Linked DNA regions of Astyanax mexicanus. The protein of the gene in region 4 interacts with the protein of the main gene of each other region in a pairwise test. Links are inferred from orthologs where the notes say so. Each region holds a gene or a part of one and is shown on either strand. Other genes may lie near its edges. The genes, in order: tfcp2, fibronectin type III and SPRY domain-containing protein 2, heat shock factor 2-binding protein and cdc73.

Region 1 (7,520 bases), on a different chromosome or scaffold from region 4:
ATTACTGATAAAAGATGATAATTTCAATAACACTGCTTACATTCCCTTAACTATTAATAATCAAATTGTGTTATTAAAATCCTCATATTTTGCTTTTTTTTATATTTCTTATATCACAATTTACAATAACTACTGGAGAAAAAGCCAAAACACTTCTCAGTAGAAACATTATCACTTAACATAAATAAATAATGAAATTATAAAGCATAAGCAAACAATTATTTAACTGTCTAAAAAATATTATGGTTTTACTGTATAACAGTATATATTCCTTTTTGTTATTATTATTATTATTATTATTATTATTATTATTATTATTATTAGATATTGACCCTTGAAATGAAAACAGGATATTTTAGTCGAATACAAACTTATGTCGTTCTTTTAAAACAGTTTATGTAAAATGTTTCTAATCTTAAAATAAATAAATAGAAATTTCAACAGGAAGTAAAGCTCTTTTTTTACTACTTTATTTCAAGCTAATTGTTATTTTTTAATTATGGATAACAGATTGATTGTCTGGTTTTTAAATTCTTTGTAAAATATGGTTGCATTTAAATATCAGTATTTAGTAAAGGTACATCATATTAGTGAATATGATAACCATCTATTTTCATACTACATACTGCAGCATACCCAACAATGAAACACCACAGATACTGTATGACTATCTGCATTTACTGATGTGTAAACACAACAAGAAAGATTTTTTTTTATTATTTAAACTTGTCAATCCATTTGTTACCAAACTACAGGTAATTAATTATACACAAAATTTTGAACTCTTATCCAGCACTCACTAAAATAACTGTTATAACTTGTCTCTGATTACTATGTAATTAAAATAAAATCAAAAGAGCTAAATAGCCACTCACACAGCTTTAAAATCAGTTGTATATATAAATAACCCCTCATATATAATCAGCACTAATGCAGTACCTCATACTGTAGGCTCCAGCTCCCAGCTCCTGCCCAATACCGGACAGACTGGCGTCGAAGTCCTGCACCAGCCCGGACTCGATCACCTCGTCAGCGAGGGGTAACTTCAAAGCCCACGCCATCGTCAAGCTTTCAGCTCTACCTCACGTCCGACTGACCACAGCCAACCGCACTGACCTCGATTACCTGCGACTGATTGGGCAGCTCACACACACCTGCGCGGGAGGAGGAGTTACAACAGGTTAAATACTACTGTCAGTCTCTAAACTAACTTTTTTTTTACAACCATCCCAAAGCTTTCTGTTAGTCGTCCCTAAACTGGAAAAAAAAATTGCCATTACTGTTGTATTTATTTATTTATGTGTTTTTCTACTAGCAATATATTTCTTAAAATATTTAACAATATTTTTTTTTTTTTTATATTGCCAGGCCCTAGTAAATAAATAGTTCATTTTTTATGTGAGCCATTTCAGCCTAAAATGACACCAAATGACACTAACTCACTGACGTTTTACTTGTAAAAACAAAAATAATCTAACTACAGACCTCTGTACTGCAGTTTTACATGTAAAAAACTCTTTTCAGATATCAATCATGAAATATTTACCAATTCTATATCAATTCTGAATAGTCCTATGTTAATATTGATTTACATCATTGCATTACTCTCTCTAATCTAGAATTACATTTAACTAGTTAAAACTTACTCTCCAGATTCCAGATTATTTAGTACTAATATAAACAGTGAATCCAGATATTTACACTACAATTTAACAAGATACAATATTTATCATATTTTTACACACAGAGAAAATGCATTAGTAGCGTCAGATAAAAAAAAAGCGAATTAAATAGTGTGATTTTATTCTAAATGTGCTAAACTTTATCCAAATAAACAGTGTGTGCGTTTGTTTGTCTACCCTGATAAAAAAAAAATAAAGTAGTACTACAAGTACTACAATGCTGTATCTGTACTCCACTAAAGTATTAACCTATGTAACACAGTGGTGTACTTTTACTTTCAGTGCTTGAATTGTACATTTCAGTATAAACTACCTGCACTAATTAAGTACAAAAATCTTGAGTACTTTAGTATGTCTACTTAAGTGCTGTACTTAAGGAACACTTCAACTTCTACTTTGTTTTGCATGTTACGTTGTATTTTAATCATCTGTTGTTGCATTTTGATTACTTTTTTATTTTATTACCTTCGTTGTTGTTTTTTTTACCTATGATTTATGATCCCTTTTTTACAAATTTATTTGATCTTCTGTGTTTTCTATCTTAATATATATATATTAATATATATATATATATATATATATATATATATATATATATATATATATAATATCTTGTTAAAATGCTGGGTCTTTTGTTCTCTTTGACAATCCCTACATACTATGTACTTCATTATACATGAGGGCAATACTATGGGTATGAGTATAAATGAGTTTAAATAAAGGTTGATTAGTTGATTGATCAGTCTTATTTAGGTTACAATTTTCACCTTATTTTAAATCATTTAAACTCATAATTAGCACAAAAGTTACTGGACAAGTAATTGTTATTAGTGTGTTCACTTGTACATATAATTGAGGCCTTATGTTTGGTTAAAGACAAAATAACCTACAAAAAAAACTAATGTTTTTGCTATACTCTTAAATATTCTGGTTTTAAACCAAAAAACAGTGATTTAATGTTTTGTTCACTTATTTTAAAATCTTACTAAGAAAAAGTTGCTTAAAATAAGCATATATGTTTTAATTTAAATAACAGCTAAGTTATATTTTCCCTATTTTTTCCAGTGTAGTGTTAACCTAACCTAGTTAGATAACTGCTGCTGTTATTTCCGTGGTGTTAAGACTCGCTGTAAAGTTAGTTAAACCCGAGTTTATGATCATTACACCGGTAACAGCAGCTACACAGAGCTGAGGACCTGGAGGATACAGAATATATGAATATAAAAAATCACATTAAATTAAATCCTTTAATTTAAACTCAAACTCAAACCAGCCAGCCTGCTCCTCTTAAACTTCAGCTCCTGCTCTAACATGGTCTCTGTGCTGCAGCTGAAGGAGTGATGGTGTTTATTTCTGTATATTAATGATAATAAACCCCTGTATTCTCCTGTACTCAGCCCGCTGTAAACCCCCGGCTCTGTGTCAGTCACTCACCCCGGGTTAGGAGCGGGTGTCGGGGCTGGAGCGGCGGCTGTTTCTCTCCATGGTTTTAATCCGTTTTTCGGCGGACTCTCTCTCTCTCAGCTCGTCTCTCTCCGGACAACACTCACCAAACTGTCAGATCGAGCTTTTAATACCGAAATAAGCCTCTAAACTCCCCCAATACCCGCGGAATAATATCTACTCCTCATAAATCACCCGAAACAGAGGGAAATAAGAGCGCAGCAGACCTTTAAGACAGAAAACTCCTGTTTGTTTATTTGCTCGATTCTCTAGATTTTAGGTATTGCTGTAATATCCGCAGCTCTCTTCCTCAGCGCGGGAGAGCAGCGCTGCAGCACTGCCCCCTGCAGCCCCGGAGCTTAAAGCAGCGCAGCGATAACAGGAGAAATTCTAAATTACAAGCACTGAGTACTGTGTATTATTTATAAGGGAGGAAACGTTATTTCCTCTCATATAATATAAGATATTATATCAAAATAACTCTCTATTTTTTCAACCTAACTGGCCTATTTAATATTTTAATTGTAGTATTTATTAATACTGTCTACATCTGAGCCAATCAGCTTTTAGTATAAGAATTATTCTATATCTCTCTGCAAGACACTCCAAAATATTACCATAATTAATTTAGAGATTAAAATAAAAAGAAATCAATTCATTCTCCATTTTATTTTTATAAAATATTATCTCTGGATTAAAAGAGCTATGATCTAATATTCAGTTTCTTCATGAGCATTAAGTTACAGAAAAGCAAGCCTTATTATTCTCCGGCCTGATTTAATTAACTCGTTCCTACGCATTAGTATCTCATTCCCATGCCTTAATTATCTAATTCCCAAGCATTTGTATCTCGTTCCCACACCTTACACATTTTTTTTTACATGATGTCACCTGAAAAAAATAAGAGATCACTTAATGATGATGTTTTTTCCTCGATTTCACCAAATTTAAAACCTCTTGAATATAATCAAGAGGAAGATGGATGATCACAAGCCATCAAACCACCAAACTGAACTGCTTGATTTTTTTGCACCAGGAGTGAGTAGCATAAAGTTATCCAAAAGCAGTGTATAAGACTGGTGGAGGAGAACATGCCAAGATACATGAAAACTATGATTAAAAACCAGGGTTATTCAACCAAATATTGATTTCTGAACTCTTAAATTCTTATGAATATGAACTTGTTTTCTATAATGCACATTTGAGGTCTAAAAGCTCTGCATCTTTTTTGTTATTTCAGCCATTTCTCATTTTCTGCAAATACATGTATAGATATAATATAATATATATATATATATATATATATATATATATATATATATATATATATATATATATATATAAAACCTTTTAGTAATCCTGATTTAAAACCATTTGGTCTGATTTAAGATCAGACAGTGAGAAAAAACTATATATCTATTTTTATATAGTGTATGTAAACTTCTGATTTCAAATGTATTTACATTTTGACATCACTGTCCCCTTACAGATAGATATATTTTTGAATGTATGATGTTTTTGAATGAAATGCACAGTATTTGTGACATTACAGAACAAGAACTATTGCAACTGTGTCTGATTTAAATGAGTTTATTGAGAGAAGTATTAAAAGTTACACAAAAGATGTATCCACTATGTCCATATAATTTACTTGGATTTCTCAGGTATGTCAGGCTTGTTATTCAAAAGACACTAAACAAATATTAATAATAATATTATTAAAAATTAGAATAATAATATACGTTTCTAAAACATAGCGTAAATGAAATATAATTAAATTGGACTGTAGTTATGTACAATGCAATGAAGCTGAAATCTTGATCAGTTCAACTTCAAATGGAGAAGCTTCTTCCAAAGAGTAAAAAAGACACAGAAATGAGCCCATTATGAATATCAGAAATTCATAACGGCATAGTTTTAAGACGAAACACAAACAAAACAAGAACACGCAACTTTACAAACTCCAAGCAGTTGCTTTTTGTCCTATGACCTTTACACCTTGTCGTGTCACCACACACAGGACTCTGTGGATATTTGTGGATAGTTAAATACATGCTGAATATTTACTGCACACACAAACATGTTAAGGCTTTGAGAAATAAACAGAAAAAAAATCAATGTTCTGAATCCCTTACGAAACGATTACACCTTTTATTAACAGTAACATAATAAAGTGTTGGTTTAAAGCCTCTGGGAAGCTATATGTGAGATTTGTTCAGGGTCCCAAGTGTAAATATACAAAGTATTTCTTATTAATATCTCATATTAAAAATGTTATGTATTTCACCACTATCACTCTCCTCTGGGTGTGATATGGGCGGGGCTAAAAGTGGGTCCATGGGAACCATGACCAATTCTAACCAAAGTTAACATAGCTCCGCCCTCTCTCTTCGAGTCTGAGCAACCAGAACTGGCAAGTTGGTGAGCTGTCGCTTACCAACCATCTTAGTGCATTGTGTGCATTGAGAGCTTAAATTGAACTTAAATAAACCTTCGTTCGCCAGTGATAGACAGCTGTCAGTCACGCACACTCATTAGAAAATTATGACTACGCCCACCCAGTTCTCAGAGAGGTGTAAAAAGTGCATTTTGATGATATATGAGGAGTGTTTTATCATATTCCTGCTTTGCATTTTCTATTTAAAATTTGCTAAATGTTTCACATAACCCCCAAGTTGAGGGTTACACAAAAAGTTAAATATATACACCTTATATATATATTACATAAAGTCTTCCCAGAGGCTTTTTTAACCCAGAAACAACATTAATCAAACTGTTCTTCAGCTAGCAACTTCACTTAAAGAAAGTTTATCCATATTCCCATTTTACATTACAGTATGTATGTCTTTATATGAGGCTGACTTTCACATTATAAAGATCATTTATGTAACGCAGACCTACCTAAGCTATTATTTTGGCAAGATTGTAGTTATAAAGTAACAGTAATCCATAGAAATTTAACTTCACATTTATCTCACTGCAGTTTTAACGATTTGTAAGATTTAGTAAATTCTCTATTTAAAACAATAGACCTATAGTGTGCACTGCCATATTAACCATATACATCTATCCAGCCCAATCAGAATACAGTGGATTCTGCCACTTCAGTAAAGGGCATACTCTGATAATCTGATCCACACAATACCATGATTGTCCAATATCACACACTGCTCACACACACCGCAGAAAGACAGACAGACGGACAATGACCATACAGGAGGATTGCAGGAGCTACCATAGAGCTGGAAAACAAAAATGTACAAAATACACTCATATGTTACATCACCAACAGTCTTTAACATCTGGAAGTGTAGACCTGATGTCAATCTCAGTCCTCGGCTGTAAATGATATTGCACAAGCAGATTATGATTATGAATAGTAGAAAACTGTAAATTTATATCAGAGATTGTGCTGTACTACTACTGATGTTGGTTAAATTTTTAATAGAACCATAACTAGGGGGCTTGTATATGGTGATGATTTATAAAAGTATTATTTACAGTATTATTGTAATGTTAAGGTATTTAAAAAGATGACCACAGTAACATAAATTTACAATTTACAGTTTACAGGCCTGTCACAATAATTACATACATTATAGACTTATTGTACAAATCATTTTTGCTGCCCTCAGTATTACTCAATGTGTTTACTTTATTGTGTCGTTTTATTCAGTCAAAAATGTTTATTAAGTAAATCAGCTCAGCTGCTACACTGACTTTGTTTTTTTATATTTATTTCATTTTTTTTTATTTATATTATATATTTCAATTCCAATGAATATTCCTAGTAATTAAAAGTCCATTGCTCCTAAAAAGCAAATGCAGTGTAAATGCATGAATTATTATGCTACAGCACTGCCAATATATTAGTGGCATAAAATGTCTTAAATCATTTCTACAACAATATATCTTCCAAAAACAACTTATCATGACAGGCCTATTTACATATTGAATTAAATCAAATTGCTCAATTTCTCACTGAAGCTTCATCAGTGGTCAATGTTTTAAATGAGAGTACCTCATGCAGAGTAATAAAAAAAAAAAATACAGAAAATTAGAGGAGCATATTTTGTACTACTCCGTCCATAGATCGACCATTCATGCATTTAAATCCATCATCAAGTCCATCAAACAGGAGCACTACCTTAGACACTCAAAACACACACACAAAAAGCACCATCTTTTTAAAGTTACAGTACAAAAGAACAGTTTAGGTCCGTTATTCCGTATTTTCAGTCTCGTATTGCACGCTAAACAGTTCAGAGTCTTCCCTTACTGCACCTGAAACACGTTGATCTTACTGGTGTTCTTCAGAGTCTGTCTGCGGTTACAGAACCACACTCTCACCACCTCCCGGTCGTAATTAAGCTCCTTGGCGATTTCGGTGATCTC
Region 2 (7,690 bases), on a different chromosome or scaffold from region 4:
TATACAGTGATAACGGGGGAGGATAAGTTGTTTTTCAGGTTGTGAGGGGAAACCAATCCAGTGCTTCTTTACTGTAAAGTCTGGAATACGTAAATGATAAATCCAATAAACCAGATGTATAATAATGATGTATCACATGCCACAACACAGTCCCACAAAAACACACACAGTTCTGTGGTTAATACCATGTACAATTTAGGCCTCACATCAATGTCAAAAGTTGCCAGGTAAAAAAAAGTTACCCTGCGTGTTTTAACATTTTGTGTGTGTAAATTTACTTCTCACAAGCACAAATGTAAAACGCAAAAAAAAGGAAATCTTAAGCTTCATTTTTCTCCAGTTGCGTGTTTTTTCCTCTTAAATTCAGTTGTCCTCGTGCACCATGCGAATTACCTGCGGCTGCTGTTTATGCTCGAGTGAACTATTCGCGCACATATTGAAAGGGGTGGTTTTGATAGTTTGGGGGCAGGGTCAGGAGAATGCTATTGGCTGATATCTCCAGGGTTTATGACGGACCGCCTACCTCCAAGAGCCGGAGGAGGGCGGAGAAAGATGGACAGCAGGAGAGATAGAGCTAGCTATGCTAACATCCAAACAACACGCTGTTTGCCCAGCTAGCTCTGACAGGGCTACAGCATTAGGAGCTATAGCTAAGGTGGAGTGAACAGCTCTGTTTACAGGGCCGCAGGTAGGGGGTTTATTCACGCAATCGCAGGCATAGTAGCGTCGCGGCCGTGAGGCTTATTCGCGCTGCCATGAAGAGACTGGAATCATGGAGGGCAGCCTCTACTTGTACTCGCGCGGTGGCATAGATAACATTTATCAGCCATGGGGCCGCTCGAGTCGGACGTTAAGCGAAGATTAAGCGTTAACTTTAATTAGCACTCAGTGCTACATCTTTATAACTAAGGATGTATCACTGAAAATATTTAGTCCTTTGAGTTTTAGAGCTGTAAAATAGACTGGGGGGGGGGGGGGGGGTAAGCAAATTAGAGGCAATATATTTGCATGTATGAATATTCATGAGCAAGAGCCAAATCTGGTCTTTCTTCAAAGACCTATAATTCAGTGATCTAAAGCAGGCTAAATAGAAACACCTGAGCACTATTTTTCACAAAAAATGGCTCACGTGGCATTTATTCAAACTAGAGACCACAACTAGACATTTTAAGATGACCTTTAAATCAAGGTGAAAACTTTTTTTGGCCAGGCAGTGTAATAAGAATATAAGTAATTGAGGATGCCAAAACTTAAACATAAATAAACTGAATGATGTTTTGTGTTTTTCTGTCTCTATTGTTGTACCCGTCACTCTGACCTTCATGTCCTGCACAGCGTCCGGCAGAGGGACTACCCTGTGGTGTGTGTGCTGTCCGGAGTGTGCCGGGGTCCCACAGTCACTGCAGTACATGTCCGAGGAAGCAGCAGGGTCAGAGGTCACAGGGCGCTTCCTGACCACCACAAACGCTTCTTCATCACCCTCAGCCTCTTCTTCCTCACTGACCGCCATCTCCTCCGCGATCGCCTGCAGGGGACCCCTCAGCCCATACACATCCATACTGCGCGCGCACACACACACACACACAGACACACACTGTCACTCTCTGTCACTGCAGATCAGATGTGTTCGGATCAGTTAATCACCGATTAGCTCAATTAATCTCAGATTAATCTCAGTTCTGCTCAGATAAATTCAAATTAAATAGAGTCAACTCAGTTCCGATGAGATTAGATAATCTCAGATCAGATGTGTTTTCACATTGTTTAATTTCAGATAAAATAAATTCATCACAGATTAGCTCAGTTAATCTCAGATTAGCTCAGTTCTGCTCAGATCAATTCAAATGAAATACGGTCAGCTCAGTTCAGATGAGATTAGATAATCTCAGATCAGATGTGTTTTCAAATCGGTTAATCTCAGATAAAATCAGTTCATCACAGATTATCTCAATTCTGCTCAGATAAATTTAAATCAAATACGGTCAGCTCAGATTAGATGAGATTAGATAATCTCAGATCAGATGTGTTCGAATCAGTTATTCTCAGATAAAATCAATTAATCACAGATTAGCTCAATTCATCTCAGATTACCTCAGTTCTGCGCAGATAAATTCAGATCAAATATTGTCAGCTCAGTTCAGATGAGATTAGATCGTCTCCGATCAGATGTGATTTAATTAGTTCATCTCAAATAAGATCAATTCATCTCAGATTAGCTCAGTTCTGCTCATTCTAAACCCGATCAAATAGGGTCAGCTCAGTTCAGATGAGATTAGATAATCTCAGATCAGACCAGTTCACCTCAGATCAGATAAAATGAGTATCTGTAATAAAATAATAATCATTTGTGTAGCTTATAATGAAGAAATCAATGAAGGACATAAGAAAAGAAAAAGTTTGTCTCCTTAATCCAAAGTAAATAATGAATGAGCTCAAAGGCTGTTGTTGTTGACCATCCCCTATTAAATAGTATGTTTAATGTAAGACATAAAAAACAGTTAAAGGCGTTAAAAACAATATTATTTGGACTGAATGGTGTTGTGAAATACTAATATATACATGCAAGATCACAAAGATCAACTGACATTTGTATGAATGCTACAAATTAGTAAAAAACAAACAAAGCAAAGAAAAGGGCAATAACTAATACAAAAGAAAAATCTAGTTTGAAGTAGCCATAATAACAATAACTCATGCATTTCACAAAACAGTACATGTGGACACAAGGCAGCCTCCTGCAATAAGATTTGACACCATGTCCTTTTACCTTTAAACATATTTTAATATTCAGTATTTAGTTAAATGCCTCAAACTTAACAAAGTTTAATTCAAAACAAGTCGTTGTGTCATATATTCAATGCAGTTTATTTTAAATGTATTCCCTTTTAAGCCCTGTTATAATCTATTTGGTTATATTCAATTACATATTTAATTTAGTACAGTTCTGATTAACTTTAAACTAACCTACATAAATAGATTAATAAAGGCTAATGTACATAAACTTCTCCTCACCTGCTCTGATTATCAGAGGCTTCTGTTTCCTTCAGAGCTTCTGCAGATCCGTGTCTCTCTCTCTCTCTCTCTCTCTCTCTCTCTACAGTGTTCCTGCAGACCAACACACCCTGACAGCAGCTCTTACCAAATATAGAGCGTGAAGGCATGCAGCTCTCTCAGATATCACCCCCTCCTCACCCATCCTGTTTACTCACACACACACACTGACACACACATACTTAAACACACATTGACACATACGCACTTGAAACATGATTACAACAAAAATTAAAACAGCTGCCTGGCTTAAACCACAAACACCTAAAAATATAGTATATTAATTAATGAACATTGTTTTTCTAGATTGGTTTGGATAGTTTTTTTCTTTAATAAAAAAATTACTTTAAATTAACTTATACACACACAGTTAGTTTCTCTGACTGTACTATTTATAGGTATATATTTGAGTAAAATGAAGATGAACCATGGACAAGTTAATTTATAAACAACAATGTTAATGTTTTAAGAGTTCAGAATTTAATGTTTGGTGGAATTACCCTTAATGTTTTTAATCACAACTTTCATGCATCTTGGCATGCTCTCCACAAGTCTTTCACACTGCTTTTGGGTGACCGTATTGCACTCCTGGTACAAAATCGAGTAGTTCAGCTTTGTTTGATGGCTCGTGACCAACTTACATCTTGCATGATAACATTCAGAGGTTTTTCAATGGGTTTCAGGTGTGAAGATTGACCTATAAAAAGAATGGCAAATGGCAGTTGGGGTGAAGTGCATGGAAATCTCTTAGAGGCAGAACTCTTCAATCATAAGCAAAGAAGAGTCAGGCTGACATTTGCAAAAGATGAGGACTGGTGCAAGGTCATCTTCTCTGATGAGTCCAATTTTCAGAGTTGCTCATACCCTGGCCACCAAATATTTATTTTCTGGGGATCATTAAGATGTTGTTGGTAAATGTGAGATGAGCCGTTGTGTTATATTTGGTCAGCAGTGTTTTCTGTCTTGGAACTCTCCAATGGAGATAATTTTTGTCCAGTCTCTTTCTTTTTATTGAATCATTAACTGACCTTAACTGAGGTGAGTGAGGTCTGCAGTTCTTTAAATGTTGTTCTGGGTTCTTTTGGGATCTCCTGGATGAGTTCTTCATGCCCTTTTGGAGTAATTTCGGTCGGCCGGCCACTCTTGGGAAGGTTCACCAGTGTTCCATGTTTTCTCCATTAGTGAATAATAGTGAATCACTGTGGTTCGTTGGAATCCCAAAGTACCCAAGTGATTTTGAAACCTTTTCAAAACTGACAGATGTTAATGACTCTGTTTTCTCATCTGTTTTTGAATTTCTTCATATCGGGGTATAATAATGTTCCTCTTTTTTGAGATCTTTTAGCTGCTTTATGTTGTCAGACAGGTACATGCAGCCCCTTAGTAGCAGTAATGCTAGCATAACTACTCTCTGAAATTCATTTGCTGTAGAAAAATGGAAATATACAGATGGGTTTTATTTGTTTTATTAGGAAAATACTTAATTCTACTTTCCATTATTACAGGAATATCCTGGTTACATTATATTTTCTATTTTTACTTTGAGTTTTTAGCTGTTTAGCTCCATTCACCCCCATTTATTGAGGGCTCTCTAGCGGGCTCCCTCTAGCGGTTGTCTGATATATCTGATATAGCAGGGGGGAGAGAGAGGAAGGGAGTGGAAGGGCTCCATAAACAAGAGAGGAGGCAGCTGACTGTGACGTAAACTTTTAAAACTCTCGTTGTTATCATAATTATTATGAATCATTATTCATTTATTATTATTATTATTATTATTATTATTATTATTATTATTAATGCTTTAGTTGTTAATAAAAAGTACTTTTTCTTTAAGTCTCACATTTCCTTCGATTTCGACACCGTGACGTCACTCTTCTTCAACATGGCCGCGTGCGGAGTGCAAAGTGACAACAACAGATAGCAGCGCGAGCGCTACATCCGCTTTATACCGATCATAACCCTCCTATAACCCTGTAAACCCTGTAAACCCCGGCTCTACCTGCTCCTCACTCTCCCCCAGGTGAGTTCATACCCCGCGCCAGCGTGTCCGAGAGAGAGAGAGAGAGAGAGAGAGAGGGAGAGAGAGAGGGAGAGACAGAGAGAGACAGAGAGAGAGAGAGAGAGAGCTGTTTCTGAGCGTGTTTTCATCTGTCAGCTTTCTCCGTCTATCTGTCTGTCTGCCTGTGTCTCTGTCTCTGTTTCTTTCATCTTTCATTAACCCTCTGTCTCTAGCTGTCTGTCTGCCTCTCTCTCTCTCTTTTTCTCTTTCTCTCCCTCTTTCCCTCCCCCTTTCCCTCTCCCTCTCTATCTTTCATCTCTCTTTCTTACTGCTGTGTGACTTTTTCTGTCTGTCTGTCGGTTTTTCTCTGTCAGTATCTGTCTCTCTCTGTTTCTGTCTCTTATCTGTCATAAATTCTCTTTCTCGCTGTTGTCTGACTCTTTCTGTCTGTCTCTCGCTGTCTGTCTGTGAGTCTCTCTCTCTCTGTCTCTTTCATCTATCATAATTTCACTTTCTGTCTGTCTCTCTTTTATTAATCTGTCATCATTTCTCTTTCTGTCTGTGACGCTTTCTGTCTGTCTGTCTCTCTCTCTCTCTCTCTCTCTCTCTCTCTCTATGTTTGTGTTGTTCTGCTTCTCTCTATGTCTGTCTGTCCCTATGTGTGTCTGTCTGTCTCTCTGCCAAACTGTCTCTCTTTGACTTTCTGTCTGTCTCTGCTTGTCTGCCTCTCTCTCTCTCTGTCTCTCTCTCTCTGCTTCTGTCTGTCTGTCTGTATGCATCTCTTTCTTTCTGTTTCTCTCTGCCTGTCTCTCTTTCTCTGACTGTCTACTGTTGACTTTCTGTCTGTCTCTGTCTGTCTTTGTCTGTCTGTCTCTCTCTCTCTCTCTCTCTCTGCTTCTCTCTTTCTATGTCTGTCTCTCTCTCTGCTTCTGTCTGTCTGTATGCATCTCTTTCTTTCTGTTTCTCTCTGCCTATCTCTTTTTCTCTGTCTGTCTCTCTGTCTCTGTTTCTCTCCCTCTAAGTGTTTTAAAAGTAAAAAAGTCTCACACGTTTACCCCCCCCCCCTCTCTCGCTCTCTCTCTCTCTCTGTCTGTCTCTCTCTCTCTCTCTTTCTCTCTCTCTCTCTCTCTCTCTCTCTGTCTCTTAGGATGAGCAGTGTGGAGGCTGAGCGGCAGGACAGTCTGGACGGCTGGGTGGCGGTGAGGAGTGATATTTTCTCCAGCAGGGAGTTTGTGAGGCTGGAGTTTTTGGTGCAGTGGAGTGATGTGGAGGGTCAGTTTGCGGTGACCTGTAGGAGCCGTGGGACAAAGTCCAGAGCCGGTCAGCAGGGTTGGGCCACCCTCTTGTCCGCTAATGACATTATACTGACCCACCAAACCCTGACCAGCACCGCCCAGGAGCTCCAACACTGCCTACCTGACATCAGCACGTTCAACACGGTCAGGAACCTGTGGGACATGCTGTTCACCCGGCCGGACGCCCTGCAGCTGCAGGAGGTACAGCAGGACCTCTACAGTACACTGCCAAGATTACAGATTACCATAGTGTAAAGTGGTGTGAAAACGTGTTTGCCCCTTTGTGATTTATTATTTTCTGCATGTTTGTCTCTCTTAAATGTTTTAGATCGTCAAACTAATTTAAATATTATTCAAAGACAATGCATGTAAACATAAAATGAAGTTTTTATTAATAAAGGTTTTTAATACTAAGGAAGAAAAATTTCAAACCTACATGGCCCTGTGTGAAAAAGTGTTTGCTACCTAAACCCAATAACTGGTTGTGCCAAGCTTAGCAGCAACAACTCAATCAATCAATCAGTTAATTAATTAATCAATTAAGTGTTTGCAAAAACTTAAAATAATTTCGCCATTGGAGGCTTTTCAAGTATGAACAGCCTTTTTAAGGTCACTAGACCTCTTCAAAGTCTTCATTTTGTTTTTCTTCAGCCATTCAGAGGTGCACTTGCTGGTGTGTTTTGGATCATTGTCCTGCTGCAGAACCCAAGTTCCTTTCAGCTTGAGGTCACGAACAGATGGTTGCACATTCTACTTCCGGACTTTTTGGTAGACAGGATAATTCATGGTTTCATTTATTACAGCATGTCTTCCAGGTCCTGAAGCAGCAAAACAGCCTAGACCATGCAGTTCATTGGATGTTGTCATTTGTGACCTCTTGGATGAGTTGTCACTGTGCTTTTGGGGTCATTTTGGTCGGCCGGTCACTCCTGGGAAGGTTCCACCTTTTTTTCATTTTTGGATAATGGCTCTCACTGTGGTTCACTGCAGTCCCAAAACTTTAGAAATGGCTTTATAACCTTTTCCAGACTGATTTCTGATTTGTTCATGGATTTCTTTGGATATTAGCTTTGTCAGGCAGGTTCTATTTAATGTTTTCTTGATTGAGAACCGGTGTGGCCAGAATTAGATCTGGATGTGGCTTGAGAAATTGAACCCAGGTGTGATCATTTCTCTAGCCACACCCAGGCGTGAATCCGGCCACACCGGTTCTCAATCAAGAAACCACTTAAATAGGACATTTAGATCATCAAACAAATGTAAATATTAGTCAAAGACAGCACAAGTAAACACAAAATGCAGTTTAACATGAGAAAAAATGAGTAACCATAAAGGGGCAAACACT
Region 3 (7,828 bases), on a different chromosome or scaffold from region 4:
GTTCACCTCCAAGTGTGTAAAATTTCCAAAGACCATACTTTAGCAGTTATAAAAGTTGGTTGGCTTACTTTACCTGTCTCAGAGAGAGCATGTGCTAGCATATTCCCATCCCAGCAATGATAACATCAATACTAAGGCTGCCTATGATTAGTTATTGCCTACACAGACAGCTCATTTGATTACTGCAGAATTTAATACATAATCTCCTTTGGTGTTGTGTTAAAGCTGCAGTCATTTTCCTTTTAATTTGATAGTACTAATGTTTCAGAGTGCGTAGAGGGAAAATATTATAACAAAGGGTATCAACGTGCTTCTGCTACCTTTTTCTGCAAAGGAACATATTAATTAAAAACATATTCATTTTAAAAATAGGGTGTCTGGTAGGTCCCATGACCTTATTTTGGTTAAAACAGCTTTTGTTGCTGGTGTGGTGGAGTGTAAGGGGATGTTTTCTGGGCTCACGTTTTTTGTCTAGGATCTGGGCTTTATGCAGGGCGACCATGATTTCACTGTTAATAACTTTGGGCAGGAACTCTCTGAGTTGCATGACCTCTGTGGACAGTCTTTCCAAGTCCCGTTTTCTCACGCTGACAAAACAGTCGCCTCCTGCATCCTACAAAAAGAGAATTTTTCTTGACGGTTCAGGTTCCACAATACAATTTTTCAAGTCTCAAGCAAGTGTGTTAAGTCTTAATATTAAACAAGGCTGACCTCTAGTGACAACGTTTACACTAACTGCAACAAATACAACATTTATCAGTTAATAATTACAGTTTGGACACATATGTTAACATAAAATTCTATAATTACAATTATAGGGATTTCAAATAAACGTAATTTTTATTACATGTTGTCGTCATCTATCGAATGAAATGTATAAATATTTGAATATAATGATGATTGAGCACAGGCAATTACACTATTTAACACCATACCATTAGGGATGCACAATGATTTTAGGATTATATCGATATAAGCTGATCACCTTTTTTTACGATCATTGCCATTGACTGATTGGGAAATATTTCAAACCGATAATGAAACCAACTCATTTATTGTATGCCGAAACAAGCATCACTGTCCACACTACTTTAATTGAGCAACAATGGCTGTGCTACTTAAAAAATAATTGATTTAAGCTTTTTGTTATTTTTAGTAGTTTTAAATTTATGAAGTTATATCACTGTCTCCCATACCATACAACACCATACCATACCATATTTTTGTTGTTGTTTTTTTATGTAACATTAAAAAGGAATATCTACGCCAACATAATGAGGCGTTCAATTGGGTCATTAATAAAAATATACAAAAATATGTGCAAGAATAAGTATTTTGATAGTAAACAAGCTTTTTATTTGGATCGCCGGTGCTTCATCATGATGTCCCTAACAAAAGCGATTTACATGATGTTGCCCTAAAAAACTCATTTAAAAAACTTGTTTCAGTGAGTTTACAACAATAATCTAAGACAATTTATACAGAACAGGCCGAAAGTTTGGACACACCTTCTCACTCAATGCGTTTTCTTTATTTTCATGACTATTTACATTGTAGATTCTCACTGAAGTCATCAAAACTATCAAGGAACACATGTGGAGTTTTATGTACTTAACAAAAAATGAACCGGCCTCCTCAGTTACTGGACCTCAACCCAATCAAGATGGACCACAGAGTGAAGGCAAAGGGGCCAACAAGTGCTAAACACCTCTGGGAACTCCTTCAAGATTGTTGAAAATCCATTTCAGGTGACCACCTCTCGAAGCTCATTGAGAGAATGATGCCAAGAGTGTGCAAAGCAGTAATCAGAGCAGAGGGTGGGCACCACTCTGGATCTGCCATCTGGGAGACACACAGCTGGGTTGGTGGCCTTTGGGCTATTTTAGCTCTGTGGGTGGATGGTTTTAGCTCTCCTAGTCTTGTTGAAGACTGTAAGTGAGTGGCAAGCCTGTTAAATAAAAGAGCTTATGAGCGTTCATCATGAGTCTCACGGGTCTTCCTTCCTCTTCCACGCCACAATATATATTAAGTTATTTCACCTTTTTTGTTAGGTACATAACTCCACATGTGTTCATTCATAGTTTTGATGCCTTCAGTGAGAATCTACAACGTAAATAGTCATGAAAATAAAGAAAACGCATTGAAAAAGAGGTGTGTCCAAACTTTTGGCCTGTATTGTACTTTATATTTATTTTATATTTTTACTATATTCTTAAATTATTACATATTAAATGTACTAAAACAAGTCTTTTTTATTTGTTGAACTAGGGCAACATTATGTAGATTGCTTTTGTTAGGAGAATAATGATAAATCAGTTTTGATTCAAACAATCAGCTTGTTAACAAAATAAAACAAATGTCAAAGAAAAAAATATTTTTATAATTCATGCCATAGAGGGTCAATAATATTGTTTTGTATTTTCATTATTTGCCTTTACTGTGATAGCTAGTTAACCTAACTTAGCTATCTTAGCTAACTAGCTATGCTGACTTCATCAGCTGTCAAGATAGCCTAAGTGATATAAAAGTTAGCTATCTAGCAAGTAAATTTACATAACACCTTCAATTTTATCTGTTTCTTTACATTTAAATATTCTGTTTGTATATACTTGTTTAGCTTTATTGAAGACTGAAGTGTGCAGTATTTAACACTCGTTAATCTCAGTATAAAATCACTTAATCTCATTATAAAGTCGCTAGCTAACCTAGCTAACTAACTTATCTGCAAACATTATCATTAGCTTATATTTTCTCAAATTAGCTTTAAAAAGAACCAATAGAAATATGTGTTGTTAACTAGGTTACCTCTCTTGTGGAGCTCAAAGGCGAAGATTTAATCGACTCTACTGCGTTCATATTCAGCTACAAATATAACGTTATTTAACCATACAACTCAACTAGCAAGATAAGCAAACTAGCCTAGCATAGGAAAGCTAACGCTAGCTAGAGGAGTTATAGAGCTAGCAGTGGGCAAGCGACACACATAACCTGAAGAGAAAAACTGTTAAATTTATAAACTGAGCGCCTCTGAGAGACTGAAGCTGAGGAGGAAGACTATAGAGGTCTGTGGCTCCCTCTGCTGGAACTTTTCCTTAGCTTTCTGCTGGTTTTATAAAGAGCTGAACAACTTTATAATTAAATACAGAGAAAATATAAAGCTTATCTGTAGACTTGTGGTTAATGGTGGCTTATACACTCTGTACATACCGATAAACATCAATATTAATCGATATGTTGCTCACACAGCAGTTTTTAGGGTATACATCACAACAAGGACACTGATAGCATGAATATGTTTGCTATGAAAAGTCCCTAGCTTTTAAAATACAACTGCAATATGTTAATATATATATATATATATATATATATATATATATATATATATATATATATATATATATATATATATATATATATGAAAAGTGGCTAATATTCATATGATAGAAAATAAAGACTTAAAATATACATGGACATGGCATTGTCATGGTACACTCATGGCAAAGTTATGTGAATAACTGTAGATGGAGCAAGGTCTGATAGTGGGTGCCAGATGGATGACGGAACATTACATTTCCAAAGTTGTCCAGACATTTAACATTCCTTGATCCACAGTAGTAATTCCTGCCCATTTAATGTCCATGTCATGTTGGTGTATTAAGGCCAAAAAAAATGTATTTAGTTCACAAGAATATATATATTATGGCCTTGGGACAATATTTTTACACCACAAAACCATGAATTCTTAGTAGTGAGAAGTAAAATCTTACTTAAATTACAAAGAAAATAACTGACATTACAGAGCATTCTATTCTCAATTTCTCCATTTTACAATGCTTCTGCTCACATTGTAAAATCTCACTCAGACAGAAGGACTGCCATCCTGAGATTAAATGGTGATTAAATGGCGTGGGGTGTAATCAGGTTACAGACACAGGTTAAAACAAAGCTTAAAACGTCACATTTCAAGGAAACCTAATCACTTGGAATTAATTGTTTCGTGATGTCATTAGAAAAGGTTATACATACCACTCCTAAAGGCACCATTTGTATCTTATACCTTTTTGTGTACTTCTAGTTGGATTATCTAATTCTGGTGGTAGACATGTGTAGTAGGTATCAATGCTGCCTTGACTGTGGCAAATGTAAAAATCACAATGTTCTCATTTCAATGCTATAGAAAAAGTTATGACTAGCTAATTCTGTGATTAGACAAGTCAGTCTTGTAAATGGGTGTGTAATGCCACATCTGAGCATTTTGTGGCTTTAAAAAAAATCACATAACCTCTATATGTACATCAGAGAACAATTTAAAATACAGATTAAATCATTGTATTGCATTTGCTGGCGAGTGAAATAAATATCTTATTGTTTTTAGGGCAATACTGATTATGGAGGCATAAATAGCTGCGTTTTAATGCCAAGGCGGTATTACTCAGCCAGCAACATAGAAGGTTGTTCCAAAGTGAAAGACCCTCCTTGTACTGCCGTGAAATGCAACCAATGTTCAGAGGTCCAATCTGGGGTAAAAACAAAAAACAAAACAGCTTTTGTAACATTTCTCTGTAATTTTTCTTTTCTATCAAGCACCACTTTTTTTAAACAGAAACTTTTATAAAAAAGAGATACTTTTCTGTGGGCCCTATAACACCCAAATGACACACACTGATAGCAAGGGACATTAAATAAACATTCATTTCTTGGTTACATTATATCCTTTAAGACTGATTATGGAAAAATTGTCTTATGGGAATTATTTAGTGTTGAAATTCTGATATTGAATTTATATTTATTTAAAGGTTAAGAAAGGTTTGATCTCTAAATCTACAGTGTTGTTAGGTGAAAATGGCTTCCCACAAATAATAACAGTGATATTAATAGTTATAATTTGAATGACCCACACTGCAATACCATAGTACAGATTATAAGAATTAAAATATACACACTGGCGGTTCTAGAGGCGGGACCACAGGGGCACTGGCCCCAACTGAAATCTGATTGGCCCCTTGAAGTACCCTTGTCCCGTCACTCACGATTTGCCCTTTGCCCGAAAGCAATGATCAGAAAATAGGCGGATGCAATTCCATGTCCAAACACTAGAGGCGCTAATGTCCCCAATGAATGAATGGGAATGTCTACTGTGTTAAATCTTATGTATGAGAGATGTTTTGAAACGGCTGTATTTGTGAAAAAGTAAAAAGGTTTTTAAAAATGTAAAGTGAAAATGCATGTAAATGTGTGAAAGAGGTTTTAATGTAGTTAATTTTGTGCCAAAAGTTTAAAACACAAAAAAATCTGCCATCAAAATTACAGATTAAATACATATAAAATCCACAAAATCACAAACATGAAAGCAAAGACTGGTAAAATCCAAACGAAAATATTTTTTAAACAACTGCAAAGAATAATAAAGTTACCAACTATCTTTAAGTATATATTTTTTTCTTCTTTGAATTTGCAGCATGCACTTTTTCCTTGTTAATAAATCAAAATTGCTTGATTGATTGATTGCAGAGTTTAGTTTTTGTGTAAAACTTTTGGCACAAATTAACTTTTACTGTTTTTTTTATTTATTTCTAATTTATTCCCATTTTCTCCAAATTTACACAGCCAATTATGCAACCCACTAAGTAGGACTCCACCTATCACTAGTTTTTCCCACCACCAGGAGAGTGAAGACTAGTACATGCCTCCTTCAACACATGTGAAGTCAGCCACCGCATCTTTTTGAACTACTGTTGATGCAGCATTTCCGAGTAGCATCACAGCGTGCTTGGAAGAAAAGCACAGTGACATGGTTCTGATACATCAGCTCACAGACTCCTTGTACTGCAGCCATCACCCTTTGGAGTGATGTGGGGAAAGAGCACCATCTACCCACCAGGAGAGAGCAAGACCAATTGTGCTCTCTCTTCGAATTGGTGATCTCCTGATCATATAGATTTTACTGTGTAAACATTTTTGAATAACATTCAAGTGTTTGAACATGGTGTGACTGGTGAAATAATACTTGCCCTTTTTTAGACAAATTCTAGATCCAACACTGGATATACATATTTAATGTGAATATTTTTTTGCTATCTCAGCTATTTCATACCCTACTAGAGTGTAGTGCACTACCAAATCCGTATCCATACTTTACTCCATGTCTGCTTTTAGGACCAGCTGATACAGAATCCGTTAAGCGAACTTAAAACTCCGGTCCGGGTTTTGTCTTCCGCCACTCAAGTTATACTTTCAAGGCGTGTGGATGTCTGTGTGTGAGTCTCCTTGTGTGTTTGGGTTGATGCGCGTGTATTTAAGTAGGTAGCTATGTTGTATTAGTCTTTTGTGTGTTAGCCAGGTGTCCTCTGAGTCCACGCCTCGCCGCGGCGTGCTCAGCAAGGCTCCGTTTCTCTGTTTAAATTCAACGGCGCACAGTTTAGCCCCTCAGCCGGCCATGTCTGTGGGCGTCGAGTCCGGATTCTCCAACGACGAGCTGCTCCACATTCGCTTCCCGCTGCACCGCGCCTGTAGGGACGGTGATGTGGGCGCGCTGTGCTCGCTGCTCCAGCAGTGCTCGGCCAGCAGAGCGGACCTAGCCGCCGAGGACTCTTTCTACGGCTGGACGCCCATTCACTGGGCGGCTCACTTCGGAAAGGTAGGTTAACGCTAACGTGAATAATATATATTCTAGCTAATGTTGAACTACAACAAATAACGGTATTATTTTAACTATTTTTTTTAATGTGGCTGAATTTAAACTTGGCGAATTATTTTTTCCCTCCACGGTCATTTTTTGACGAGGCCCCTGCGCGTAAAGAGAGCTCAGATAATCTGAGCTACGTGCGGGTTTACATGCTAACCTAACCTAGCCTAGCTAACCTAGGATAGGTTAGTGCTCGAGCATCAGTTACTAGAAAAAACCCAGAATTTTAAAATGAGCTAGCTAAAAGTTAGCTATAATTGTTTGCAAACACTAAACCATCATAGCTGGTTAATTAGCTAGGTTAAGTATAATGTTTTTGTGCTGGGGTGCAAAAATAAACCTGATAAATCTGTTGAAGTGTTTGTAGATAAGTTAGTGTATCGTTATTTTCAAGTTCACCTCGAAAACTCAAGTTAACTTACTTTGCGACTTTTAAGCTTGTAAAATAAGTAAATAAGCAAGTAAATAAGCATTTCTTATCGGAAACAAAATAACAGCTACCTGAACACCTTTTGTATTTTTTTCTTTTTTGTTTTGTTTTCTGTTGCCAACATTTCTAGCTAGGTAACGTAAGATAACAAAGAGCAACGTTTAAGCAATAGGTAAAAGGAATGTTTTTTTTTCATATATGGATTGTGATTAACCATTTATTTTGACACGCCCCCCAACTCGTAGCCCCTCGTAGTAAATACACAGTTTGTCTTGCCGTTCACGTACACGATATTTCCTAATATTTTTTTAAAGCGGCATAACACACATTACAGTTTGCACTGAGGATTCAGATCAGCAAATCAACTGAAAAAGACCGGACAGCACAGCCGCGCGCTCAGTCTCCAGGTACGAGCGCGCAAAACCAAAGCCAGCCGTTCATTGGCTGAGCCGCGACCAATAGAAGTCGAGGCGCCAAAACTGTGGTTTAAAAATAGATCTTTGACCCCGGAGTGGGAACTGCTCACGGCTGCAGTGTTGTGAAGTGTGGAGATACTGTTTTCACAGGATCCAAGCTGTACAAAACTATTTTAGGGGTGTAAGAAAATATCAGTATTAAATAGCATCACAATATATGTTTTACAAACAGCCAGTCTTGGACTTATGATCAGACTGCAGATTTCCAGACTCTCATTATAATTTGACGGCCCAGCA
Region 4 (8,324 bases):
TTACCTCAAATCGTGGCTTTTTTGCTTCTGAAGAAACTTCATCTGCAGCTCGTTTGACTGTTCAGAAACACAAAGATAAAGAAAATCACAGTTAAACTCAAAGCCACATGTTCATATTCACACCAAAACCGAAATTATCTGTTATATATGCTTCCAAAGCAGATTAATATAATATACTGTATGCAGTCGTGACGTACCTTGTGTCGGCCTCTGTAGACCAATCTCAATGGGTGCACTTCTGTCGATACTCGTTGATGATGCTGTAAAACAAAAGAACAACAATTTAACATGTTTATTTCATTCACAGAGACCCTTCTTTACAGATTACCATAATATTAGCTGATTAAGAGTTTAATGTAGTAGTTGTTGATGGTGTATCACACTTACAGCTTTCTCCATTGAGATATGACAGCAGGTCTTTTCTGTCCGGTCTTCTGACCACAGGTATGTTCTCTGTCTGAATGTTAAAAAAAACAAACAATTCAAGAAATATTTATATAAAAAACTAAATTCTTATGATCTATACATAATGAAATTCTGATGCAATATAAAAGAACACTTGCCACATTCACATTATGTCAAAAATAGCAAAAAATAGTACATGTAGTGAATATTTTTGTTAAAAAGCTGATCTCGTTTCATTCAAGATTTATCCAGGCAACCTGTTTACCACCTAAACTTAAAGTCTGTAGACTCAGTCACTTACCGCAGCTCTGCGCACATAGGACGGGTGAGGAAGATGCACATTGTTGAGAAGGAAAAGAATGGAGTCCAAAGTGTAGTACTCCTTAGGCTGGCCTTCCTTTCCTGTTCTGTAAGAGAGATTTAAATACAAATAAAAAACACGTTGTTCAACTATCGCATAATACATAGTTAAGAGATTTTGTTTAAAACATGCAACTCATATTATACAGATGTATTACACACAGAGTGATCTATCTAAGCACTGATCTAAGCATTTATTTCCTTTATTGTTAAGAATTATGGTTGACAGCCAATGAAGAGCCAAAAATCAGTGTCTCATAAAATTATAGTATAATATAAGACCAATTGGTACGTTTGGCAGTGTGGGCAGTGTGCCTATTCCTGCTGGAAAATAAAATCCACATAAAAGTTGTTAGCACCATGAAGTGCGGAAAAACAAAACTGCACTGACTTTAGACTTGATAATAAAACACAGTGGATCAACACCAGCAGATGACATGTCTCTCCATCAAACCATCACTGATCATCAGTAAATTTTACAATTTTTTAAAAGAAATCAAGGGAGCAGAGTCTGGAGGAAGAGTGGAGAGACACACAGTCCAAACTGCTAGAGGTCTAGTGTGAAGTTTCCACCAATCAGTGATGGTTTGGAGAGACATGTCATCTGCTGGTGTTGATCCACTGGGTTCTATTAAAAGGAAGTTTCAAAATGCATAATTGTTGTAGTTAAGTTAAATAATCCTCCAGATTTTATTCGTTTGGTTGGCTAGCTAAACAGTATTTTAAAGTACACAGCTAGCTTTGTATGTCCTGGACACAACTCAAAACAAACAGCAAATAAACCAAATTAAGCAACCTAGCTTGTTAGCATGCTAGCTTACTAACTAGTGAACTCAAAGCAAGTTGGCTTTACTTGATACAGAACTCAGTAAAATTATTATAATTATACCTCAACGTGCAATACATAAATGTGTAATAGAGTTTTTCCATAATGTGAAACTGATGCAAATTAAATACTCTTCCAGATTTTCTCTCACATTTACTTTTCTCTTTTTCCGCGTGCTTTGATATCACTTTATTACTTAATTTTAACGCTACTTGCTAAACGTTGACGTTACACTCCACTATAACACACAACTCATGTAACGTTAGCCAGCTAATGGTTATTTTAAAGCTAGTTAGCGTTTTAAGTTCCGTATTCTGTGTGCTTTAGTATTTCTTTGCTGCTGTAACAGTGCAAATTCCCCCACTTTGGGACTAATAGAGGATTATTAAACATAACCAACTAACTTAACATAGCTAACAAATCTAACGTTGCTTGCTCAACGTTAAGTTACACTTCAGCATAACACACACACACACACAAAGACACACACACACACACACACACACACACACAACATATCTAGCGTTAGTTAATTAACGTTAGGTAACCTGGGTTAGCTAACAGTTAGCTAAGGAGTATTTTAAAGTACAAAGATAGCTTTTTATATCGTGGACACAACCCCAAACAAACAGCAAATAAAACACATTTACGTTAACTAGCTACCTTGTTAGCTAGCTTGCTAATTTGCTAGCTAAACAACTGGTTAACTCAAAGCTAGCTAGTTAACGTTAGCTGGCTGTCTTGAGAGTTAAGTGTTGCTATCGTTAGCTAGCTAAGGTAAGCTAAGCTAACTAGCCACCAGTCCAAAACATTCGCCTTAACCCTAAATTTAAGTCTCTCAAATCCGCAGGTAATCCTTAGACACACCTGAAGCTCGTAAACTTTAAACTCTCACACAGTTACCGAGCTCAATGCGCGGGCTGTGTATGTGTGTGTTTTTTAATCTGGTTAGCTGCAGGTGTCTAAACTAAGCTAAGCTAAGCTAACGTACACAACACAGCTGTGAGTTTGGTCAGTAAAGCCAGATACAGGCTCAGTCGAGCTCTTCTTACCCCCAGATCACATAGTTGGTTTTGACGTTTTTGGGCCATGAAAACTCTCCAAATATCACTTCCTCTCCTTTAGCGATGATCTCTTTCTTCTGGATGTTGTACTGCCGCAGCACGCTCAGCACGTCCGCCATCTTCACCCTCCGAACACACGGGCTTTTACTGGGAAGACCTGAACCGGAGGCGGGGGGCTATACGGAGCCCTGCTGCCCTCCCTGTCCGCGCTTAAACCCGCGCTCTCACCACATAAACTCCTCTGTTTTACACCTTATCAACACCTCAACTCTTTAAATCGTCCTTTTCTTATCTCCTCTGTGTGCGCTGTATTTTGTGTTTAAGCCCCAAAGTTACTAAACACACAGTGTGACTCGGGTAAGTGCCTGCGTGAGAAATAACCAGCTATAAAAAAGATATATAAATAAATATATAAATGCATATTTCAATGTAATTAGCTACAGTACTTCTGAATTAATACAACATAACAATAATACTAATAAAAATGATAATAATAATAATTATAATACTTTCCCTACACACACAATTGTATGCACAATTGCTCTAACGTTACTTATCGTGTGTGATGCAAATAAACATCTTCTAGAAGTTCCAATAATTACATAATTATTTATATCATAAAATTATATCAGAATTTAGTTATATCATATTTAATATGATATTTAAACTGTTGCTCTACAAATAATAATGCATTTCTGGACTTGTGGTGTGAACTTTTATTTTGACTTTTCACAACTTAACACAGGGTGTCTTTCGCAAGTGCCTGCTTGTAATAGTTTCCCCACAAAACTTTAGATATATAGTTTTGATGCATATTACTAATATATTATAACAACATAATAATAAAAACAATAATAATACATTCCCTACACTATGTATTTAGTAAATAGACTAAATTAAAACTACAGAACAGTTCTTCTGATGTAACTGAACATTGTCTAGAAGTTGCAATAATTATATAATATTTAATATGATTTTTAAACTTTTGTTGCTCTATATTTAATTCTACAATAATACATTTCTGAATTTGTGGTGTGAACTTTTATTTTGACTTTTCACAACTGAACACAGGGTGACTCCCGTAAATGCCTGCTTGTAATAGTTTCCCCACAAAACTTTAGATATACATCTTTAATGCATATTATTTATATATTATAACATACTTTTATTATTATTATTATTATTATTATTATTATTATTATTATTATTATTATTATTATTATTATTATTAATAATAATAATAATAATAATAATAATAATAATAATAATAATATCTACTCTGTATTAACACTTTTACAACTTTCATAATTTAAAACACTTAACTGAACATGATACTACTTTACTATATGAACCAAATAAACAAAAGCAAACGGCTCCAATAATCTGGGTTGTAATTTCTGAATTTTCAATTATTGATAAGCATTATCAGTTCATTTTATATTACGTTTATTGCACGCAATACATTGCATATGTTGTTTTTATCATACGTATTTTAAATCATATGCCATCTGCTAATGTTTACTGGAGGTGTCAGGGACTTTTATTTTAGAAATAAAGTTACTACACACAGTGCGACCTCAGTAAATGCCTGTTGGAAATCACTACAACCAGAGACTCTCTACAGAGGAGAGAATGCCCACCAGAGGGCGCTCTCAAGTGAGTTAAAAATGAATCTGTTAATATGGAGCAATTAAGCAATTAATGTACAGCTCTGTAAAAAAAATAAGAAATCACTTAAAAATTATGAGTATTTTTGATTTTACCAAATTGAAAACCTCTGGAATATAAATGAAGAGTTAGATGGATGATCACAAGCCAGCAAACCACCAAACTGACCTGCTTGAATTTTTGCACCAGGAGTAAAGCAGCATAAAGTTATCCAAAAGCAGTGTGTAAGACTGGTGGAGGAGAACATGCCTTTTTTATTATTTTAGTCATTACTCATTTCATGCAGATTAACGCTCTTAATGACAAAATTTTTATTTGGAATTTGGGATATTTTTTGTCTGTGTTTTTTTTTTAGCAAAATGTCCTAGAAAAAATATTTATTCGTTATTATTTTTAATTAAAGTTTTAAGCTGTTTACCCTATTTACCCCAATCATTGAGGACTTGACTTTATGTTTATTTGGGTTTAGTATTCTAATGTTATATAGAGTTAGTTACCGGTAGACACTCTCACTGACCACTGACTTTGGATAGGGATTTGTTTGGATTTATTCTATATTTCTCTTTATTCTACATTAAGCCTCTCTGCCTCCCTTTAAGATATGATAATGAAATATGTTCTGATTGGCTGTAATGTATTTTATTCAGAAAGCAATCTGAATGATTTGTTAATTTGTAATCTGATATTTTTTTGTGACATTGCGTAGTGGGTGAATTCCAAAAAACTGTATTTCCTTCCTTGTGAAATGTATTTTTAAATGAAAATGTAAATGTGTTTCAGGATACGGGCCCTTTAATAAATACAGATGACCCTCAGGATCTCGTGAATGCGTGTGATTCCAGACACGCACTGTGCTATGACTGGAAATTCTCTCCAGTTCTTCCTTCCAGAACTCTTCATTGTTTGTTTTTACAAAGAGTTTCCGAAACAGCGAAAAGAGGAATCTCGTCTGTCCAGCTATTGAAACAAGGCCACGGGTATTTAGTGATGGAACTTCCTTTCATTTTACCTCATGACTTTTTATACAGGATAACAAACTGTTAGCATTTTACAGTTACAAAAGCACTGTTTGCAGTTACTGTATTTACTGTATATGGTCTACAGGTTTACCTAAAGTAACCTGGGGGAATGACTACACACTGACAGTGAGGGGCAGAAACTAGGGGACACAATCAATCTGAAAATAGTTGGTGTCAGAAGTTGCCAATAGCAAAAGACTAAACTAAACTCTAAAATTAAAGTTATTATAAGTTGATTTAAGCCTCTATGGCATGAAATATATTTTTGATAATATTTTATGAGAAAGAAATGCTGATATGTTTGAGATCATGAGCAGATCCTTTTTTTCTCCAAACTTTAGTCTTTCCATCACACTGGTAAATGTTAATATTTGTTAATATCATAGTCTATAATCGGTCCACAGGCTTTAATACTAAATTTGTCTTTGTATTCACCTCATTAATACGACTTTTGTTCTTCTCTCTTCTGTGAGCAGTAGATTGTGATATCTTCACTTCTGCCCTCTGGATGTTGTTGCTGATGTCACTAAAAGTAGTTTTAGGGTTTTTCTTCACTTTACAGCTCTCACAACATTTCAGTTATCAGTTGCTGTGGTTTTCCTTGGTCTACCTGTTCGACATCTGTTACTCAGTAGACCAGTGACGACTTTCTTCTTCAGTACATTCTAAACTGTTGCACTGGTTATGAACAATATTTGTGCTTTAATGGCTCTGATTGATTTCCTATCTTCCTATCTTCTTATTGTTTGAATAATTAATTTATCATCAAAACACACCTGTGCAACAAAACACACCTATCAGTCACATGATCCATGATCCAATACTTTTGATCATAAGAAAAGTGGGTGGGTTCAGACAGAATTTGCTATAGTATCTTTTAAACTGTGTATCAGATCCAGACGTAAATCTCAGATGGAAATAAAAGCTGAAATGTGGGTCTTCTGTCTAATATTCATCTTTTAATGTCAAATTAAATTTTTTGTTTCCTTCTACAGCAGAAATAATAGAATTGACTGCAGGTATTTAGGGCAATATGTCTTCTATTTCTTGGTATAAAAGATGAATAGATATAAGTGTGTGGATATGGAGCGTAACTAAGAGAGATCTCAGAGACATGAATGAGTTTTTGAGCTTTCTCTAGGTGGCAGCAACCCACCATGGACAGATTCCTCAACTCTTTTCTCTCCTCAACTCTTTTACTTTTCTGTTCAATTTTTACGCAAAATGATCATAAAAGCTTTAAATTATAGTAAAATTCATTTTCATTCATTCTTACTGTTTTATTTCTTTCATTTCTTTTACAAACTCCGTTCCTAAAGCTCTGTAAGAGAATCAGCTTCTATTTAATTACCATCCACCCCAATCAAACTCAGACTTGTTTACAGTGATGGTAAACAGAACCAGACGTCTGAACTTCTAAAAGGTTCCTCACAGAAAGGGGTTTTAAATGGGTTTAAACTGTATAAAGTTTTGAGAACATTTTGGGTTTTAAAAACTGGAGTAAAACTTAAGTTTAAATGCATCTCTATAAAAAACGTGTGTGTGTTTTACAGAAATTAGTGTAAAAATTCGTTAAATTTATTTATACTGAATATCATTGCTGTCCAATAAAAAAAGTATCTCTATTTTTGTTGATTTTTAGTTTACTTCATAATTTGAACAAACGAACTGTCCCTTACGTTGTGCCAAAATTTCTTGATGAACAAATGAATAGAAATGCTTCCAAATTACATTTTTACATTGATTTACAATGTTTTTTTCTCTCTCTTATAAAGTTGCTGTTTTGGAGATACTTGTTTTTAATTGGATAGTGACAAAGATATGTGTCAAGAACTTCAAAATCCAAAATTGTCTGGCTTTCAAAAGAAAATTTATAATTAAAATATATATACAGTTTTTTAGTACAGTGATACAGAATACCGAATTTACCTTTAGTTGCTGGTTTAATAGTATAAATCTGTACTTCTTACTGTTAGGAAAGACTTTGTACTGCAGAGGAAGCAAAATTAACCCTTTAAAAAACAATATTATGCCTTTGAGGTAATGAAACAATTATGAAATCTCATAATGTTTCTGTCATCAATTGCTGTGGTTTTCCTTGACATCTGTTACTTAGTACACCAGTGACGACTTTCTTCTTCAGTAAAGTGAGTACAAGAACACTTTGAGTACAAGAAAGTACTTATATCATACCTTTTTAGTTTTTTAGTGTGTTCTGCTGACTATCCTTCATACCAAGTGAAGATTATTTGGACTAAAAAGTTCTATACACCTATCTCTAATGCAATTATCACTTAAATAAGCATTAATTAAAGTAGAGTCATACTAGAGATACATAACAAAGAGTGGTGTCAATATTAACATGTATGTGATTAATCTGAAAACGTTATTGCTATAAATACTTACTGTGTATTACAATGTGTGTGACAAAATAAAAAAATTGCAGATAAAAAAATATATAATTGCAGATTAAGAGTTCAGACATGTAGCACTAATTTGTTTCATTTCAGGCTCACATCTAGATGTAAATTGACACCATTTATGAAAATGATTTTTTTTGGCCATTCTAAAAACTGGAATGTTTGTGTGAAGGTTTTTTTTGTAGGTTTTCTGTAATTTCTCCACTTTTTATTATTGTATGTGGATCATTCCATTCCCTTTCTGTCCCCAGGAAATTACATGTATATATGTGCACACAAAATAACTTTAAAATACGTTTTATAATTAAGCATAATGTCTTGTGCATTGACCTTATTGCAAAAGTAAGATATGTAATACCAACAAAGCACAATATGACTGGAAACATGTGAGTCATTGCTTGGTTATGGTTATTTATTCTGTCTTGTCCCTTTGTGGTTGAACCAGAATGGAAAGTATTTCTTCACATAAAAGTATGTACATTAAAGCCACATGCTTTTAATCCCCCAAACAAGATCATGTGGGCCGTCAGAGAGTCTGAATACCTGCACTGGGTGTGTTTCA

Evidence for each region.
Region 1: the proteins of cdc73 (region 4) and tfcp2 interact in binary tests that used the Homo sapiens proteins (3 or more experiments, as listed by UniProt). The two-hybrid records come from large-scale screens. The link is inferred for Astyanax mexicanus from reciprocal best matches to the Homo sapiens genes CDC73 and TFCP2.
Region 2: the proteins of cdc73 (region 4) and fibronectin type III and SPRY domain-containing protein 2 interact in binary tests that used the Homo sapiens proteins (3 or more experiments, as listed by UniProt). The two-hybrid records come from large-scale screens. The link is inferred for Astyanax mexicanus from reciprocal best matches to the Homo sapiens genes CDC73 and FSD2.
Region 3: the proteins of cdc73 (region 4) and heat shock factor 2-binding protein interact in binary tests that used the Homo sapiens proteins (3 or more experiments, as listed by UniProt). The link is inferred for Astyanax mexicanus from reciprocal best matches to the Homo sapiens genes CDC73 and HSF2BP.

The regions. Positions count from the first base shown.
Region 1 is NC_064420.1:6,043,582-6,051,101, forward strand, and holds the start of tfcp2 (transcription factor CP2), read right to left. Parts: upstream 3,451-7,520; 5' UTR 3,117-3,450; intron 1,155-3,116; 5' UTR 1,062-1,154; coding exon 940-1,061; intron 1-939. Other genes in the region: pou6f1 (POU domain, class 6, transcription factor 1), read right to left, coding at 7,401-7,520.
Region 2 is NC_064416.1:45,102,967-45,110,656, forward strand, and holds the start of fibronectin type III and SPRY domain-containing protein 2, read right to left. Parts: upstream 3,116-7,690; 5' UTR 3,013-3,115; intron 1,560-3,012; 5' UTR 1,559-1,559; coding exon 1,319-1,558; intron 1-1,318. Other genes in the region: WASP homolog-associated protein with actin, membranes and microtubules, read left to right, coding at 6,199-6,546.
Region 3 is NC_064428.1:21,664,802-21,672,629, forward strand, and holds the start of heat shock factor 2-binding protein, read right to left. Parts: upstream 3,183-7,828; 5' UTR 2,857-3,182; coding exon 2,806-2,856; intron 614-2,805; coding exon 463-613; intron 1-462. Other genes in the region: ankrd10a (ankyrin repeat domain-containing protein 10a), read left to right, coding at 6,437-6,637. UniProt on the Homo sapiens protein: Meiotic recombination factor component of recombination bridges involved in meiotic double-strand break repair.
Region 4 is NC_064415.1:57,793,667-57,801,990, forward strand, and holds the start of cdc73 (parafibromin), read right to left. Parts: upstream 3,008-8,324; 5' UTR 2,775-3,007; coding exon 2,644-2,774; intron 813-2,643; coding exon 707-812; intron 458-706; coding exon 388-457; intron 261-387; coding exon 198-260; intron 58-197; coding exon 5-57; intron 1-4.